Linked DNA regions of Sus scrofa. The protein of the gene in region 3 interacts with the protein of the main gene of each other region in a pairwise test. Links are inferred from orthologs where the notes say so. Each region holds a gene or a part of one and is shown on either strand. Other genes may lie near its edges.

Evidence for each region. The genes of interacting proteins can lie anywhere in the genome.
Region 1: the proteins of FATE1 (region 3) and SMIM14 interact in binary tests that used the Homo sapiens proteins (3 or more experiments, as listed by UniProt). The two-hybrid records come from large-scale screens. The link is inferred for Sus scrofa from reciprocal best matches to the Homo sapiens genes FATE1 and SMIM14.
Region 2: the proteins of FATE1 (region 3) and CD79A interact in binary tests that used the Homo sapiens proteins (3 or more experiments, as listed by UniProt). The two-hybrid records come from large-scale screens. The link is inferred for Sus scrofa from reciprocal best matches to the Homo sapiens genes FATE1 and CD79A.

What each region holds. Positions count from the first base shown.
Region 1 is NC_010450.4:30,837,518-30,841,675, reverse strand, and holds the start of SMIM14 (small integral membrane protein 14), read left to right. Parts: upstream 1-1,259; 5' UTR 1,260-1,517; intron 1,518-4,158.
Region 2 is NC_010448.4:49,996,396-50,000,557, reverse strand, and holds the start of CD79A (B-cell antigen receptor complex-associated protein alpha chain precursor), read left to right. Parts: upstream 1-1,263; coding exon 1,264-1,339; intron 1,340-2,661; coding exon 2,662-2,955; intron 2,956-3,212; coding exon 3,213-3,331; intron 3,332-4,119; coding exon 4,120-4,162. UniProt on the Homo sapiens protein: Required in cooperation with CD79B for initiation of the signal transduction cascade activated by binding of antigen to the B-cell antigen receptor complex (BCR) which leads to internalization of the complex, trafficking to late endosomes and antigen presentation.
Region 3 is NC_010461.5:123,111,378-123,113,821, reverse strand, and holds the end of FATE1 (fetal and adult testis-expressed transcript protein homolog), read right to left. Parts: intron 2,262-2,444; coding exon 2,179-2,261; intron 1,927-2,178; coding exon 1,848-1,926; intron 1,156-1,847; coding exon 1,024-1,155; 3' UTR 644-1,023; downstream 1-643. UniProt on the Homo sapiens protein: Involved in the regulation of endoplasmic reticulum (ER)-mitochondria coupling. Negatively regulates the ER-mitochondria distance and Ca(2+) transfer from ER to mitochondria possibly implicating it in the regulation of apoptosis.

The DNA of each region.
Region 1 (4,158 bases), on a different chromosome or scaffold from region 3:
ACACTTATATGCACATGGATGCATACAAGACTTTCTATTCCACAAATTAAAGTTCCACAGATTAAAGACCCTCTATTACAAGGTCAGCCCATGAACTTCACTAGGGTACTAGAGTCTACTTCAAACCCTCTTAATTTGAGTAAACAGAGTTCAAGACTGCAGAGTAAGGGCCAAGAAGCTTGACTTCTATCTGTTAAGTGTTAATTACCTAGGAAACACTTTCGGTTTTACCAAAAACCTTTCATTTTCTAGAAACCTTTGCCTGCATTCGACGTCCCCTTTAATTAAAAAGCTCTTGCAGATTATAATAATTTGCTGAAGGTGACTCAGCTAGTTGAGATGATTAACCAAATACTGAGATATAAGTCCAGGTTAGCTGAAAAGGTTGACTCAGTGAAGTCTACAGTTTCCTTCAGCTTTCACCTCTCCCACAGGCTAGGCAAATAGGCACCTTTGTGAAATCTTCGTTCGGAACTCACACTTTCATTTTCCTCCTGGTCCTGTTTTAAGGTCTGTCTACTCATGGGACTAAGAAAACAGAGTAGCCCTAAGTTTTGCCAAATTGGGAAATTTCTTGGGCCCCAGTGGTTTAGTGGGGAGACTGAAAAGGCCAGAACTGGAAAGAAGGAAGCACTAATTTGGTTTAAAAAGAAGTGCGGTTCTTACACCACAAATAGTATCCTTATTTCAATCCGTAAAGTCAAAGCAAAAAAGGTTTGAGCTGACTGCCTAACAACAGCGCTCTCCTCCAGGTTCGCCACTATCGCTCCATCCATCATATATTCCTTTTAATACTCCCCTTGAACTGAATTTTAGCCAGCTTTCCGAGTGCAATGTTAGGGAGAGTAAAGGGGGTAAATGCCACGTTTGACATACTTTTGTACATAAGACTAAATCCCTATCTTCAATTTTCACCTGGCCTGAGAGAGCCAAAACAATCTCCACATGTCTCAGCAGACATCAACTTGCGCCAACGCCTACCACTACTCCCGCTAAACACTCCTGCCCAGGAAAGCCATCAGGTTAGGCAAAGGGAGACACACAGCAGAGGACATTGTCCACATCAGACGAAACAGATGCCACGCCGGCTGCTACAGCAGACGTGGGGCTTCGCCCCTCCACCTCATAACGCTCGGCCCCACCCCTCCCAGCCGGAACTGCAACACCCGCGCCTAGCGCCCCCACGAACAGCGCAAAGCTTGTTCCCGCTCCGCCTCTCCGGACCCACTGCGCAGGCGCGGGGCGCGCGCGTGCTCAGTAGGCCTGCCGCTGGGGTCTGGAGGCGCTGCTATCTGTTGCGCCGACGTCCGCGGGAGCCGGCAGATCCGGGTCTCGTGGCTAAGAGTGACGTGGTCAATCGAATCAAAACAGAGGAGGGGAGGAAGCCGGCGGTCAGGAGCAGCGGCAGCAGCGGCGGCCCGAGCAGCCGCAGCGTTCCGGAAGCTCCAGGCGGTCTTTCTGCCGAGGCTTGGTCCCGGCCCCCATCCTCCCCGCCCCGTCGGTTGTTGTCTGGGCGGGTGAGTGTCTCCCCTTTCTCCCACCGCCGTTTGCTGGCCCATCTTCCCCTCACCCCGGTGTTTCTTGGGGGCTCCTCAGGTTTTCGCGGACTGCGGCGGCTGCGGCTAAGCAAAGCTGCTTCTCCGGCTCGGTGGTTCCTCGGCGGGGCCGGCGACTCTGCACCGGGAGAAACCCGCTGCTGCCGAGCCCGCGTCCCCCGACGGAGAGCGAGGCGGAGAGCCTGAAATTTGGCTTTCTCTGCAGGAAACCAGAGTCGGGACTTGGCAGGGAAGTGGACGGTAGCCACGGGTGGTTTTATTTTTAGGGCAAGCAGTGAACTCGGGTGGAGGCGTATAATGGAGTAAAAAAGGAGAGAGAGTCGTAGCTGGAAAGAAAACCCCACAAACCCTGAAATCCACGCTGTATCATTTACCTCTGTTCCTTAGCTTTTGCCGGTTTTGATGAAGTCACTAGGTTGCATTCTTTGTTGTGATTGATGAGACAAGAAAGCTGCCATCCAGAAAGCGGGTGCTTTTGGCCCTTATTGTGTTGTGAATTTCAAGGATTCCTTTTTTCTGTTCAGTAAGTGGAACCAGAGCTGACATAAAGAGGTAGCACCCTTTACTGGAACAGATAAAGTGCGATAAACTGGTTACTGGAGTACCTGAAGTCCTATGTTGCGTTTAAAGCCCGTTTTCCAAAGTGGCTGTTACTGTATGTGTTAACGATTTCAGCCAAGATGATGTTTGTTAGCTGTAGAGAGTCAGGATGTTTTCAGTTGTCCTAGTTTGCAAAATCGAAGATGTGGCCTTAAAAAAATGTCTTGGCTTTGGGTAGAGAAAGTCGGATGAGCTTCATGCAATACCTGTGTTTGAAGAGACCGTCCAGTTTTTGTATTCATGTCAAAAGCTGCTGTGCATACAGTAACTTGGACAGCGTATGACCTTTCAGGTGCAGCCTTGAGACCCTTAGGCATTCTCGCCGTCCAGTCTGTTGAGCTGGCAGAAAGCTTGTGTTCCTTTCCACTCCAGATGACCAGCCAAGCAGATTCCTCTGGTGTAGCCTGCTTCGAGCCCTGCCACCCTCCCCGTCTCCTTTCAAAGCATGAAGGAGACCAGAAAACCAAACCTCCTTTTTGTCCTAACTTAGTTTTAAAAACAGGAACATTCCCCCCCCACCCCCAGCGAACTCATTAATTGAGGTGTTTCTTTAGCAGGTGGCAAAATAGAAAAGCAGAACTATGTGCCAATCCATTGCAACTTAGCAAATTTAGAAAGAGTTCTTAGGAATTTAGACTACTCACTTGAAGGATACCCTTGTAAGTATCCTTGTGAGTACCCTTGTGTGGTCTAGAATGGACCTCTTCATAACAAATTTCTTCCTTCTGTGTGTGCAGCTGAGATCTTTTTTCTTAGTACCAAGGTTGGAATCCTGCTGATTTAAACAAATGAATTATGTTTTCTTGAAGTTCTTTTTTTGACTTTTATGCTAACCTATAACTCAATATTTTGCTTATATGATATAATTTGTGATAATTGGAGGGAGTGTTAATTAAAATAGATAAGTAATAAATCATAAGTAATTCCTGCCATCGAGATCACCAAAATGTCAGCAGTGTTTTATATCTTTCCAGACTTCTTTTTTTGCATTTATGTGTTTTATACAAAAATGGTATCATACCACGTAAGCTTTTCTATAACTTGCTTTTTTACATAGTAGTACTTCATTTTTGAGAAACAAAATTTAAATATTTGCAGATAGGGACTTTTGGACCTTTTAAGGAATATTCGCTATGTGTTTGCTGCACCATAATTGTTAGAATCGTGGTTTTAAAAGATTTCCTCACATGTCTCTGATGATATTGTAAGATTTAATTTAATGGATATTAAATTATTTAATATCCGTTGTGTGACAGAATAAGGCTTTGCTTGTTTAACTCTTGGGAGAGCGGGCATAGAATAGCCTGAGTTGACAATATGGAAATTTAAAAAGTTTTGCTAATTTATTGATTTGATTCAAGTAAAGGTTTAGTTCTATTCAGTAGCTACCATGTGCTTGAAATGCTGACTAGCTGTCCAGGCCTCTGTCCATAAGGTCCTAAAATATTTTACTTTATAAATCACACTTAATCTGCTGTGTTAACATTGAGACTTGGATATATGCCCATTCAGTCCAGTGCTTTATCTGTGGTGCCAGAGGAGAAGGAAGTGTCCCTGTCAATTCAGCTTCAAAGGATAAGTACATTCTATGAAATATCTTAAATACGTACGCTAATAACCCATTTGGGTCCATTAGTCATAAACTTACCTAAAACCCTTAAATTTTTGGAGTTCCCATAATGGCTCAGTGGAAATGAGCCATGGAAATGAATCTAACTAGTAACCATGAGGACACAGGTTGGATCCCTGGCCTCAATCAGTGGGTTAAGGATCTGGCATTGCCATGAGCTGTGGTGTAGGCCTGCAGCTACAGCTCTGATCCAACTCCTAACCAGGGAACCTCCATATGCCACAGGTGCAGCCCTAAAAAGACAAAAAAATAAAACCTTTAAATTTCTGTTTTCTTTTTTAATCTTATGGTTGAACCCACAGCATATAGAAGTTCCTGGGCCAGAACAGGGGCTGAATCTGATCCACACCTGGGACCTACGCCACAGCTCTA
Region 2 (4,162 bases), on a different chromosome or scaffold from region 3:
TCCACTGGTTGACCGTACCTCAAGGTATCATCCATTCTCCTGTAAATGGGCTTTTCATCTGTTTCCCAGTTTTTGTGACCAGAAATCTTCCTGCCATGAGTTTTTTCCTAGCTGTCTCCTTATGTGTCAGTGTGTACATGTGTGAGACGGTCCCCTGAACACTCACAAACATCTCAACAACTTTTTATCATTCACCTCCCCCTCACCTTTAGGCCTCATTTCTCTCCCTCTTGACCTAAACTGATGCTCAAAGGAACCTGGGCACACATAAGTGACTAGGAATCCCTGCCCCACCACCAAACTACATAACACTGGGCAAGTGACAGTGATGGTGTCCCCTCCCTGTGATGGCCTCAGTTTCCTCCTCTATAAAAGGGGGATGACCTGCCTTGCCCACCTGTGTAGAGGCTAAAATGAAAGAACACCACACAAGAGCCCACTGGGGTGCATGGGCGTTGGGACCCTCATCTCATGTCACAATACCAGGGAGATTTGTTTTGGCCATGCCCACAAGGCCAGGGCTCAAACCCACACCACAGCAGTGACAGCACTGGATCCTAAACTCACTGCATCACCTCGGAGCGCCACCAAGGAGACATTTTATCCTTATCGCTCAGGTTAAAAATGCCAAGGCAAAAAAAGAAAAAAAAAAAAAAAAAAAAAGCCAAGGCTCTGAAAAGGAAGCTACCACCTAGTCACTGAGCTGGTGGACCTGATGCTTTATTCCTTGGGAGTGTTCAAGGTCACCAACATTTACTGAGCCCCTGCTCCCTGCCAGGCCCTGTGTTCCGTGCTCAGCATGTACAGTCTCTTTAATTAACTCCTCTTTTCCAACCCCAAGAAAACACAGAGGCTCAGAGAGGGGACCAGTTTTGCCCAAGGCCACTGAGGAGCAGAGGCTAAGTTTGGAACCACCCCCTCACCTGAACACAGCAGGCACCCCAAACCCCAGCTGCCTCAGTCTTCCTTTCCAGTGACGAGGTGAAGGGCCTTGAACCAGCCTCTTCCCCCCACCCGAGCAGTCTCCTCTCGGGGGAATTGTGGTGGCCACAGGTGCAGGGAGCGGTTCCTCTCCACTTGTAGCCTGAAGCCTCCTGGCAGGGGCTCCCCGCAGCCTGACAGCCAGCGGCCCAGCAGTGGGGCCAGTGGAGCCCATCTCCGCAGGGCTGGGCAGGAAGTGGGGCGGGGTTTTGAGCTTGACCGAGGTGGGATCTGGTACCCCCGGACTGCTGCAACCCAGACAAACCAACTCACTGGGAGAAGATGCCTGGGGGTCGCCGAGCCCTCCAAACCCCACCTGCCACCATCTTTCTCCTCTTGATCTCCGCAGCTGCCCTGGGTACGTGGTTAAGAGCAGGTGCGGGGGTGGGAGTGGGGGAACTGGGAGGCAGCTGAGAGGGCACAGGCAGAGGGGGTGGGAGAGGAGCTGACAAGAGGAGGGCTGGAAAAGACCCCACAGAAACTGCATCTATCAGCTTAACTGTCCCCAGCAGGCCGACGGGAGGCTGAAGGGAGCTCAGTGAAGTTGAAGGGCATATTTCATGGAGGGAGGCGGGGGCCTGAGATACCTTTGCCACCCTTCATCCCCACAGATCAAAATAAGGAACTAAGGTTGCCTTTGACCCACTGAGCTCCAGAGCTGGGGGCAGGGAGGGACCGTGGGTAGTGCTCAGCTTCAGGAGGAAGAAAAAGCTTTCTCCTTCTCTGCCTTGAATCTCATCCCTTGTCTATGGAGCTGGGTGACCTTCCCCCTTCCCTTCCTGCGCAACGCCGCCAGCTGGGCAGGGCTGTGACCACCCTGTCACACCAAGAGAGGTGGCCAATCACCCCAAGTGACACTGGGACCTAGGACTGGAGTCCATGACCGTGACCCTGAGGTTGCTACCTCTGTCCCCACCTCTTCCTCCTTTCTGTCCTCCTCACCTCTCTCTTTCTCCCGATGAAGGAGGCAGAGCCAGCCATGTGGACTGGCCTGTGGGGGGAGGCTGAAAACTGGGGCTTCCCCAGCAGCCAGCCTGCGCCACCCCAGCTCCCTCCCACCAACCACCTAGCTGAGGCCCTCCCTAACCCCAGCTCAGCCCACCCACTGAACCACCCCTGGCCCCCAGCTTGACATGCGGGGGTGGGCCCAGGGTCACAGGGCAAGGCGGGCCGGCAAACAGGCAGGAAGAAACCCTTTTCCCGGGGTCAGGATTCACCCCCCTGAGCCACTCCTGCCACCCTCGGTCTCCACTGTCCCACTTGCAACATGGGACAATGAGAGAACCGACTTCTCAGGGTTCTGTGACAATTATATGAAATAAATAAATTGCCAAGTGTGGGCCCGAGCTGGGGCTGGGGCTGGGGTGAGAGAGGGAACCAGGAGGGCCCTCAGGAAGAGGCGATGGCCAAACCGATTCTGGAAGGAGCTGCCAGGCCAAGCGCACTTCTAGCACCAAGGCGACCAACTATCCAAGTGCCAGGGAGGGCAGTGGAGCTGAAGCAGAGAGCGGGTATGGAAAGGGCCGAAGGAGATGGCTCTGGAGTGATGAGCGGGGACGGGCCCCGGGGTCCGTCATGCACACAGTCCACACACACATACACAGCCGGGAGCACTACAGCTGCAGGGGCCAGGCTGGGCCTGTGTCAAGGTCCCTGACCATCTGCCTCTCCTCTCCGCAGGCCCTTGTTGCCAGGCCCTGTGGGTGGACTGGGGCCCGCCATCGGTGACGGTGAGTGTGGGGGACAAGGTCAGCCTCCCATGCAGACACAACAGCAACAGCACTAACATCACCTGGTGGCGCGTCCCTCAAGGCAACTCCACGTGGCCCCCGGTCATGGATCTCTCAGAACTGGGCCCCAAGGGCGAGCTGATCATCCAGCAAGTGAACAAGAGCCACAGGGGCATGTACAGGTGCGAAGTCAACGAGGGCCAGAGGATTCAGCGCTCCTGTGGGACCTACCTCCGCGTGCGAGGTGAGTGCCTGGGGGCTGGTTCCAAGGTCCCATCCCTCCACAGCTGGGGACACTGGCTTCCTCACCTGGGAAGGGGGATGGAGCCAGTGCCTGCATCAATCCTTACTGTCAGCATACATAGTGGCCAATTTTCTCACCTGCCAAGTGGGGGCGTCAGTGGTCTTGGCCTTTGAGGGGGGGCTGTGGCTGCTGGGCTGGGAGGCGCGTGGGGGTGGGCGGGAGGTGCCAGGGCTCTAAGCCGCACTCTGTCCTCACAGACCCCCTCCCCAGGCCCTTCCTGGACATGGGGGAGGGGACCAAGAACAACATCATCACAGCTGAGGGGATCATCCTGCTGATCTGTGCCGTGGTGCCTGGGACGCTGCTGCTGTTCAGGGTGAGCCACCTGGGGACCAGCTCCCCCCTGAGCCTCAGGCTCCCCACCAAAACTTGGCAGAATGAAAGCACCCACCTCACAAGGCCTGTGAGGGCTCAAGAATTTAATATAATGAGGGAGTTCCCATTGTGGCTCGGCAGGTTAAGAACCTGACTAGTATCCATGAGGATGCAGGTTTGATCCCTGGCCTCACTCAGTGTGTTAAAGGATCCAGCATTGCTGCAAGCTGTGGCATAGGTTGCAGATGTAGCTCAGATCTGGTGTTGCTGTGGCTGTGGCATCGGCCAGCAGCTGCAGCTCCAATTCAACCCCTAGCTCCAGGAACTTCCATGTGCCACCGGTGCTGCTCAAAAAAATGAAAAAAAAAAAAAAAAAGAATTTAATATAATGAAAGCATTTTCAATGGTGCTGGGCCTGGATGGGCATCCTTGTTCTGTCTTCCCTCAGGGTTGTCCCATGTCCACTCTCCCTTCCACCCAGCAGGGCTGTAGCCTCTAAGTGTAGCCAAGGCTGGGTGATGGGGGCTGGCGTCCTCCCGGAGTCTCTGACCTGCATCAGCCTCTCTTTAGGCCACAGGGCCTCTAGACCTATTTACTAACACTGCCGCTGTTATCCGTGAAGCATGGGCCAAAAGGACACTGGCTTGAACCTAGAGAGACCTGCTACCAATAGGATATGTGGCCCTGGGCATCTCCCTGACCCTCTCTGGTAAAGCACCTCCCCACCCTCATGAGGGTCTGAAAACATTCCCCTTCCCCGACTCACGGAGGCTCCCAATCCCCCCACAGAAACGATGGCAGAATGTGAAATTCGGGGCGGATGTCCAGGATG
Region 3 (2,444 bases):
CCACTAAAGCCAAGGACAATGTAAAGATGGGATCTCTGCCCCCCTGAGAAATGTGAGTTTATCCCTGGGGCCCAGGGGGAGGGCAGAACTCTTCTGAAGGCCTCCTGCAGCCAGAACTCAAGCAGTGACACTTCTGCCCTCTCAGGCCAAGCCCCAATTCTCTACCCAGCAACGCCCCCCTGCCCTCCCCGTGCACGAGGGGCATGTTACAGGGCTGTGACACGAGGCGGAGGGGTGGGGGTGGGGGGGTCAAAGCCCCTCCTTGTGGGCCCCCATGCAACCTCCAGGGCTGAGTCAGAGCCTCAGCCAGTCTCAGGAGAAGCCCTCCTAGCCCCAGCCCGGCCTTAGTCTTGCTGAATGAGCCCAGGGCTGCGTTCCCCTTCCCTGGGACTCCATTTCCTCCTGAGCAAATGGCAACATTTCTGGTCCTGCCCAGGACATTTCCTCTGATTGAGTCCTTGCATCGCCTGACCTGGACAGGCTGCCGCAGAGTGGCTTCCCCACAGGCCAGAGCCTGCCCCCAAGGCGCACCCCCCACTCTGCCCCACAGGGATGAGGATGGTGCAGGAAGGGGCACCAGGGTCTTTGTCTGGATAGGCTGTCCCCACGTGAGTCCTGGGTGCAAGAAGCTCAGCCACCAGGGTTTGCTGCTATCACTAAACTTTTATTAAGAACATTCTCTGTGCAGAGCCCAATGCATGACATTGAAGAAAACAGGGACGACACAGCCAAGCCCCTGCCAAGGATGGAACAGAAGGGACACCGAGGGCCCCCAGGCAAGATGTGGCTCCAAGACGGTCACCGTGGAGCCCTGACAGGCAGGTAGGAAGCACCTACCCCTGGTGTTCCTGAGGCAATTGGATGCCACCCTCCTTGCCCTCCACGGGGGCTGCCTCTCAGCCCCCTCGGACCTTCCTCCACCTCCCAGCTGCTGCTGAAGGGTGGGGAGGAGACGGCAGGGGTGGCCGAGGGAAGGAAGGGGAGGAGGGGAGGGCTCCATGTGCAGGTGGCCTGCGTGAAGCATCACTGGCGCAGCCACAGCCAGAGGTTGGCAACGCAGACGGATACCAGCATGGTGAAGAAGAGGGTCTCCCTGTGGCGCCAGGTGGCGCCCTGGTCCTCCAGGGCCCGCAGCCGCCCGGTGATCACTTGCAGCTGCCAAGAGACCAGAGCTGGCAGGTGAGCAAGGCCATTCCGGGGAAGCCTGCGCACACCGGCGGGGGGAAGAAGTGTGACCTCAGAGCAGGAAGGGGGTCTGGACCAGAAGGAGGCCGGGCAGCTGAGGCCAGGGTGTAGGGTGGGCCCCGCCGCCTCGCCCCCACTTTGGGGACCTTCCTCTTGTCTGGAAGAAGCCAGCCCATCCCAGCTGTGCCACCGCAGAGTGAGGGCCATAGGATGAGGTGACACTTAGGGGCCAGAGAGGGGCTGCCAGGGAAGTTGTCCCCCAGGCCCGTGCCCCTGCCTGTTGGGGTCGCTTCCTGAGAAGACGCGGGCTTGGTCTGAAGGAAGGTGACCCCTCACTCAGATGTCTTGGCATGGCTCTTTCAGCACCAGTTTCTCCTGTGCCCCCATGTCCTCTCTTCCCCCCCCTCACGCCCCCCCTTCTTCCTTCCAGCATCTCGGGGAGAGACACAGGGTTGGGGCTGGGCATCAGGATAGATACGGGAGCCAAGGGGACTGGGGGGAGGGAAGGGCGACCTGGATGTCACCGTCACCTCCACCGCTAGAGGATAATGCGACTGGCAAGGCTGAGCATCGCCAAGGCGGGTGTCGAGGCCCCGCCTGCCCCAGGGCACTGGGCCTCGGCCTCCACCCTCCGCGTGGCTCCCCGGCAATCCGACGCTCACCTGTCTTCTCATGATTTCCATCTCCAGCCCGTTTAGCTCCTCCAGGCCAATCTCAGCGATCACGTCTGCCCCCAGGTTGCTGGGAAAAAAGACAAGAGTGAGAGTCAGAGCTCCTGGGAGACCCCCATCGATCGGGTCCTTCCCCCCCTGGTAAGCAGGTCCTGGGGCCTGAAGACTGGGAGCGGCCCAGTCGCAGGGGCCCCAAGCAAGCCAGGGGCCAGGAGGCAACGGAGCCCGAGCCCCGCTGGCACGGCCAGCTGCTCACGCTCCCCCCTGGCCAGCCTGCCTGCCAGCCCCTGTGGCCCAGCCTTGTCCCTGGGACCCTTCTTACCGCTCGTAAAGGAACCCCATGCCTTGGAAGCCGCCCTCCTGGTTTGGTTCTTGGGACGCTTTCTTTGGTGGCAGCTGGGGCCCCTAGAGAAAGGAACGGTCAGGCAGAGCAGCCTGGACAGAGGGCCCAGCGGAGCAGTTGCCCCGCACTCTGTCCAGGACCCACTGGAAGTGCTTGGGAACCCCACGAGGTGGCCGCCGGCCACACCCCGCATGGACCACGCTCCTCAAGAGCTCTTGGCCACCCAGGCTATGATGAAAGAAGAG